Sus scrofa: one gene and its partner. The protein of the gene in region 2 binds, or shares a complex with, the protein of the main gene of each other region. Links are inferred from orthologs where the notes say so. Each region holds a gene or a part of one and is shown on either strand. Other genes may lie near its edges.

Region 1 (4,249 bases), on a different chromosome or scaffold from region 2:
AAAAAAAAGCCTATTAAAAAGTGTGGTTCCACAAAAGAGAACTCTACAGGGCACTCTTGGTGCTATTAGAGTGAATCCCTTTCCAGCAAGGGATTCACCCAAAACAGGAAGCACAGGGATTGTGAAAATCAGCTAAGATTTATATAGTATTTCTAGGAATACTCAAGTAAGTATGATCTGCCCAGTGCCTAGTTTGACCACTTTGCCTATGCAAGATGAAGGGCCATGATCACTTTCAAATTAGGCTAATAATAACCCACTAGAGAGCAGAGAATACTCTCCTTGCTTTCCTACTATTATTGTGAAAATAATGGTTTTCAAATGACACAGCACTGGGGTGATTATCAGACTGCCCACCTCAGTCCACATTTGTAATGAAATGTATCTACCTGGTAAGACTGACTGGCAGATGTGCATGTCAAGAGTAAACAGGCTTCTTTCAAATTTGTAAAGCACTCCATGATTTTGCAAGCTTCCTCTGATTTTAGTATTCCTGGGTGTTCTGTTTAAGCGACAATGTAGAAACAAACGATGACCAGACCATATAAAAAAACAGAACTCTGACCCACAACCTCTCCAATGCCTACCTAGGAAACCAACCCCCTTATCTATATAATAAATAGCCCAAGAAGTCAGGCTGCTTTAAGTCAGACTTGTAGGAAATCAAACTAAAGTCTCTAGTGATATTCCAGGAAGCCAAATACCCTACATAACAATCCATCCAACATAGCCAGTACTTGATTAATAACTGACAGCTTCCCTAATTTTTGTCCCCACTCTCAATTTAGGACCAACCGCAGAAAGCCAAATATGCACCCCTAACCTATCACATAGGTCACATAGGATACCCCGCTCTGAGGTAGCCCACAGACAGCTTCCCCATAACAAATAGCTTTGCATTAGAAAAAGAGTGAAACCTGCCCCCCCAAAGCTTTCTCCCCTCCTCTGCCTGCGTTTGAGCCTTTGCCAAAATGTAATGTGATGTGGCTGACTCTATACATGGCAAGCTCTTGAATGAATAGCTTTTGCTTTTCTTATTTGGTTGGTCATCATTTATTTCCACATACTGGACCTAGTTATTCTATGAAGAACCAATTTCCAAACCCTCTTTAAAAAGATACTGGTTAACATTGTTTAAATGTGTTGTTTCTAAAACAGTCATAAAGTTAGCAGATAACATCTTTTTCACTTCATCTTAATAACCTTAATATGTTCCATGGCTCACCTTTCCGCAGATCTCCCTGCAATGAGCACGGCTTCCTTCTACCCACCAGAGAAGTGGACCTACATGTTAAATCTGTGAGTGAAGACCGTAGTAGCGCTCCCACACCCAAGCCAACCTCCAAAAGAGAACTACAATTCCCAACAGCCCCTGCAGATGGCTGGCCGCTGCCACTACGCGCCTGCGCAGTTGCGGAAGCTCGACTGTGCGGTTCCCGCCAATTCTCGTGCTAATCCTGCCTGGGTTGAGTTCTGCGTTTCATGGAGACGTTTGACCCTACCGAGCTGCCCGAGCTGCTTAAGCTTTATTACCGGAGGCTCTTTCCCTACGCCCAGTACTATCGCTGGCTGAACTATGGCGGAGGTGATGAAGGCGGGAGCGGGGTGGGAAATGGCTCGGGGTGGGGGGGGAGTGTGAGGAGGTTCTGGGAGGGTACCTTGGAATGACAATATGAAGTGCCTTCCATGTTCCAGGCCTTGTGTCGGGCGCCTTTGTGCGTTGCCTTGAGCCCTCCCCACCACTGCCGAGGTGTAAATGGGCCTAGAGTGGGATGTAATGACCAGTCTACACCACGCACTGAAAGACAGAGCCTTTGCTCCTCCCACTTTGTGTTTGAACTCACTTTCGTTGCAGCGTTTACCTGCTCTGATGCAGTGTTAATCTTCTCGGTTCCTGAGCGAAGGTGGCGGAGGTGGCGGGGAGCAAGGGAGTCCACTGGGTTGTAGCAAGAAGCTGCAGAGACATAATCTGCATCAGGGACAGACGGGCATCTCCTGAAAGAGGAGAGGTACTTAACTCTTCCCAGCTGAATTTGAGTGCCCACCTAGGAAAGAGAGGTGGTACTACATGAAAATATTTCTGCATCTTTTTCCTCATTTTTACCTTTCCCTATTAAATGCAGGATGGTGAACTCCTTCAAATTAGGGACTAGTTCTTGGTTTTGGTTTTTGTTTTAATGTAGCACAGTGTTGAGTACAGAGGGTTCGTGAAAGATATCTTCTTGTTGGTTAATGTTTTAATACTCTGAACTGGATAAAATACCATACTAACTTTTAAAATGTATGTTCATTTTGCAGTGGTAAAGAATTACTTTCAACACCGTGAATTTTCATTCACGTTGAAAGATGACATTTACATTCGCTACCAATCTTTCAACAACCAGAGTGAGCTGGAAAAGGAGATGCAGAAAATGAATCCATACAAGATTGATATAGGCGCGGTATATTCCCACAGAGTAAGAAATCAGTTTTTTATGTAGTTTATTGTTTTTTTAAACCAAGAATGGATTGGTGCCCCTAGCGTTTTGAGATACATTTTTAGAGTTTATTCTAATTAAGGAGCCACACTTTAACAGTTTTTGCAAGTAGATTGTAGTGAAAATAAAATTTGTTCTTTGATGGGAGTTCCCGTTGTGGCGCAGCAGAAATGAATCCGACTAGGAATCATGAAGTTGCAGGTTTGATCCCTGGCCTTGCTCTGCAGGTTAAGGATCTGGCGCTGCCATGAGCTGTGGTGTAGATTGCAGTCGAGTCTGGGATCCCACGTTGCTGTGGCTCTGGCGTAGGCCGCGGCTACAGCTCCAATTTGACCCCTAGCCTGGGAATCTCTACATCTCTACAGCGGGCCCCAGAAAAGGCAAAAAGACAAGAACCAAAAAAAGAAAAGAAAAGAAAAGGTCCATGAAAGAAAAGATATTTGACACTTTGTGTATCTGGAGAATGTGTTTATTCTACCATTATGCTTAACTAATGGTTGAGTTTGTAAACCATTTTCCCCCAGTATTTTGCATTTTTTTTTTTTTTTTTTTTTTTTTTAGTCTTTTGTCTTTTTAGGGCTGCACCCATGGCATATGGATGTTCCCAGGCTAGGGGTCCAGTCGGAGCTGTAGCCACCATCCTATGCCACAGCCATGGCAACGTAGGATCCAAGCCGCATCTGCAAACTGCACCACAGCTCACAGCAACACTGGATCCTTAACCCACTGAGCAAAGCCAGGGATCAAACCTGTGTCCTCATGGATACTAGTCAGATTTGTTTCTGCTGAGCCATAATGGGATCTACCCTTTTTTTTTTTTCTTTCTTCCTCTTTATGGCATATGCCAGGGGTCAAGTCAGAGCTGTAGCTGAGGCCCATGCCACAGTCAGAGCAACACCAGACCTGAGCTGCATCTGCAACCTATGCTGCAGCTTGCAGCAATGCCAGATCCTTAACCCACTAAGAGGCCAGGAATCAAACCATCATGCACATGGACACTCTGTCCAGTTCTTTTAATTTTTTTTTTTTTTTTTTTTTTTTTTTTTTTTGTCTTTTGTCTTTTGTTGTTGTTGCTATTTCTTGGGCCGCTCCCGTGGCATATGGAGGTTCCCAGGCTAGGGGTTGAATCGGAGCTGTAGCCACCGGCCTACGCCAGAGCCACAGCAACGCAGGATCCGAGCCGCGTCTGCAACCTACACCACAGCTCACGGCAACGCCGGATCTTTAACCCACTGAGCAAGGGCAGGGACCGAACCCGCAACCTCATGGTTCCTAGTCGGATTCGTTAACCACTGCGCCACGACGGGAACTCCGTCTGTCCAGTTCTTAACCTGTTGAGCCATGATGGGAACTCCTGCACTCCCTTTTTTAATTTTTAATATAATTTTTCCTACCTATTTTCTCTGGTCTCTAGAAATCCTACAATCAGATATTATGTCCTCTAATTGTATTTTTTTTTTTTTCTATTTTAAATTTCCTTTTTCTCTACTTTCTGGGGAATTTCCTCAGAGGTTTCCTTTTCTGCTATTATATTTAAAATCTCCAAGAAGTTTTTTAGAGCATCATGTATTTTTTTCACTGACATATATTACCTGAGAATATCAATAATAGTTTAATTTTTTTGTTACACCATCTGTTTTCTCTAAAGTTGCACTTTTTCTTTGTTTATTTTTTCCCCGTTCTTTCATATTGGAGGCTTTCCTCATATGATAAGGAAAATTTCCTCCAGTAATTTCTTGCTTGTGCTTATATTTAAGAATAGAGGGAGTTCC
Region 2 (3,646 bases):
ACCGGTGGTCTCATGTTACCCAGGATATGGCAGAACTTGGTTGTGCTGCTGCTTTCGAATCTCCCATCCTCCCATTCACTCTTCGCTCTCCTGTCCAACTTTCCTTCTGCATTGGCTTCCTCTCGCTGTCTGAATACACCTTGCATTTTCATCCCTTTGTGCTTTGCCTCATGCCTTTTCCTTTGCTTGTGCCGCTTGTCGCTCTGTATTCTGATGGTGAAATTCTGTGTTGGAAACCTCCCCTGTGAAGCTTTCTCTGATTTCCCAGGCAACATTAATGGCTTTCTTTTCTGCTTCCTTAATACCAGGTTCTTACCTCTTACATGGTACCATCTTTATACGATGGTGGGAGCCTCAGGCCTTTATGCTTTCCTTGACTGGGAGTCCCTTGAGGACCAGCAGCTCTGTCTTACTTGTCATTGTACCCCAAACCCTTAGACTGGCACATTGTTGCCTGTGGAGTAAGTCTTTTTGAAGACCTGTAGAATAATTTTGTCAGAATAATCTGATAAAAGAGTCCAGGGCGTCTTGAGGGAATACCCTGAGGCCAACTTTTCCCTCTCAGTGGTCTTGTTCAGTAATCTCCTGGAGCCTTTTTGTGTCAGCCTGCTTATAATTTTTTGAAATCATTTGAGTGACACCCAAGATTTTGTGGCTGTCAGCATTAAGTACCTGCATTCTTTAATTTTTACTTAATGCCTTTCTGAAAATGGATTTAAAAGTCAAATGTGAAAGTCAAACAATAGGCTGAGATGTTACAAAGAGATTCCATTTCCAGAAAGCTAGGGAAAAAAATAGGATCTCTAATTATGCCACACCTTTAAGATATGGTTTTCAACAGTTTATTGCCAGCATTTGGTACATGTCTGTAAATTGCATCTTCTATTTCATTCAAACACTTAGTCAAACAGCTTCATGTTGTTATGAACGTTCCAGTGGGGTTGGAGCTTTTAGGATGCCTGTTATCAATACTTCCCCTTTTCTGTGCTCTTTTTTTTTTATAAAATAATAGCACCAAGTACAATAAGACACTCAATTTCAGACTTATGTGCCAGTCGTGGTGAGCATCAACTCATGGCTGCCAGGCGGCACTGTCTTGCTTGACTTGATTTTTCGCCAGCTGGTATGTGAAAGTCTCCATTCTGTGGATGAAATCTTTTCAGTATGTGTTTATGATGATCAAAAGCATGAATAATTCAAAAGTTGAATGAATGACCACTGAGGCCCTCGGGTACTTCACTAATTTTCCACAAAAGATTTTAATCTTTGTAATTTTTTTTTTTTTTTTTTTTGGCCATGCCAATAGCATGTGGAAGATCCCAGGCCAGGGATCAAACCCAAGCCACGGCAGTGACAACACCTGGATCCTAAACCCACTGTGCCACAAGAGAACTTCTTGATCTTTGTAATTTTTGACTGTCATGCTCTAATGTCGCAGCCAACTGCTCGAAGCCTGGAAATCAGTGGTAGAATCAAGAATCTCCTCAGAGCCATCTTCGTTACATTCTCCTGATTTATCCTTCCTTTGAAATTCTAGACATTTTATCTGAACCTCTTGTTAGGGTATGCTTTACTTCTAAAAATTGTTTTAGAGTTAGTTGCTACTTACTGGCTTACCTTGTTTTATGGTGCTTTGCTTTATTGCAGTTCACAGATACTGTGGTTTTTTTTTTTTTTTTAAACAAATTGAAGATTGTGGCGCCTCCGCATGAAGCAAGTCTACTGGCGCCATTTTCACATTGATGTTTGCTTATTACTTCATTTGTCTGTATCGAATTTTGGTAATTCTCACATTTCAGATTTGTCATTATTTGTTAGAGTGGTCTGTGATCAGTGATCTTTCATGTTACTACAAGTCACCGAAGGCTCAAATGATGATGAGCATTTTTTAGCAACAAAGTATTTTTAATGGAGGTATATACTTTTTTTTAATGACATAAGGCTTTTGCACACATAATAGACTCCAGTATAGTGTAAACATAACATTTATATGCACTGGGAAACCAAAAAAAAAAAAGAAAAAGAAAAAGAAATTCGTGTGACTCACTTTATTGCTATCGCGACACTCACCTTATTGGTGGTGGTCTAGGACCCGAACTTGCCTTTGTGTCTTGCAGAGCGCCTGGTACTTTGCAAAGAGAGGGTGCTCCTTAAAGCCTTTCAAATGTTTATTGATGGAATACAAAATGAATTGTCCTCTTATAGCTACTTATGGGCTATCATCACCAGTGGAAAGGTTACTGATCTCCCTTCTTTAGTGTCTCCAGGGAATATCAGTTGAATTTGGAGTTTTTCTCTTTTTGGAGGACAAAAATAACAGTTGTTGCTTCAGCTGAAAATTTCTGAGGAGCCATGGGAACTGGAGATTCAGTCCTGAGCTTGTAAATTATTTACACCGGAAAAAGTATACATTTGTGTAACATGAACATTGTATACTACATGAACATTGTATATTACTATTGGCTAAAAACTATTGCTTTGTTTTTGAGGGAAGATGGCTGACAGTTTTGTAACATCTCATGCAAATTTGGCTTTTCTACAGCTATGTCAGATTCAGGGAGTCTTGCAGCTTCGCGATCCCGGCGAGAGAAGAAATCCAAGAAAGGGCGACAGGAAGCTCTAGAAAGACTGAAAAGGGCTAAAGCTGGTGAGAAGTATAAATATGAAGTAAGTAACCATTTTTCTTTTTTTTTTCACTTGTAGTTCATCTGTTTCATAGCCTGTAGCTAATCCTTTGTCCACTTTGTCACTCATTAGAAATATGCATTTATTTCAGACTTCTTATAACAGTAATTTTTAAATACTGAGCACATATGGGCATGAAGTAGATTTAGATGATGGGTGATTACTCAACCCTTAGAGTTCCTGTGAGACACTTTACAGATGCTTTTAAAATTTAGAAATTTGGAGTTCCTCTTGTGGCTCAGTGGTAAGGAACCTGGCTAGTATCCACGAGGATTCGGGTTTGGTCCCTCGCCTTGCTCAGTGGGTTAAGGATCCAGCATTGCCATGAGGTGTGGTGTAGGTCGCAGACTTGGCTCAGATCCTGAGTTGCTGTGGCTGTGGTGTAGGCTGGCAGTTACAGTTCTGATTTGGCCCCTAGCTTGGGAACTTCCACATGCCTTGGGTGTGGCCCTAAAAAGACAAAAAAAAAAAAATCTGGAATTAAAGTAACTATATATTTTTCATTTTTAAGCACACTGCATCTCTGCTAAGTTCCATAGCTTTGTTGGGGGAACTTAGAGATGCCTTTACTTTACTCACAAGGTATTGAACAGTCTAGCTGAGCTCTGCTTCTTCTTAGAGAGAATTATTCTTCCTCATCTCTTATGCGTGGGGAGCGTGGGAGGACTGGACCTTCCCTCTGCTGTGTACTGCGTGTAGGATAGAATGTGATGACCTTTTGGCTCTTTCCCTCTACCCATTGTTAATGGGCTGCAGGTAAAAAAAGCAGAGTGGGAGTTCCCGTCGTGGCTCAGTGGTTAACGAATCCAACTAGGAACCATGAGGTTGTGGGTTGATCCCTGGCCTCACTCAGTGGGTTAAGGATCCAGCGTTGCTGTGAGCTGTGGTGTAGGTCACAGATGCGACTCGGATCCCGAGTTGCTGTGGCTCTGGCGTAGGCTGGCAGTAACAGCTCCGATTG

The links. The genes of interacting proteins can lie anywhere in the genome.
Region 1: the proteins of POLA1 (region 2) and PRIM1 are in contact, whole or in part, in a cryo-EM structure (PDB 7OPL), measured with the Homo sapiens proteins. The link is inferred for Sus scrofa from reciprocal best matches to the Homo sapiens genes POLA1 and PRIM1. Residues at the interface, in NP_058633.2 of Homo sapiens: Tyr439, Ala440, Pro447, Glu448, Lys449, Ser450, Phe876, Thr877, Thr878, Gln880, Leu906; in NP_000937.1 of Homo sapiens: Asn92, Thr93, Val94, Lys95, Leu96, Gly97, Ala98.

What each region holds. Positions count from the first base shown.
Region 1 is NC_010447.5:22,086,595-22,090,843, reverse strand, and holds the start of PRIM1 (DNA primase small subunit), read left to right. Parts: upstream 1-1,430; 5' UTR 1,431-1,482; coding exon of another isoform or gene 1,483-1,585; intron 1,586-1,855; 5' UTR 1,856-2,009; intron 2,010-2,298; coding exon of another isoform or gene 2,299-2,402; coding exon 2,403-2,456; intron 2,457-4,249. UniProt on the Homo sapiens protein: Catalytic subunit of the DNA primase complex and component of the DNA polymerase alpha complex (also known as the alpha DNA polymerase-primase complex - primosome/replisome) which play an essential role in the initiation of DNA synthesis.
Region 2 is NC_010461.5:20,759,601-20,763,246, forward strand, and holds part of POLA1 (DNA polymerase alpha catalytic subunit), read left to right. Parts: intron 1-2,542; coding exon 2,543-2,667; intron 2,668-3,646. UniProt on the Homo sapiens protein: Catalytic subunit of the DNA polymerase alpha complex (also known as the alpha DNA polymerase-primase complex) which plays an essential role in the initiation of DNA synthesis.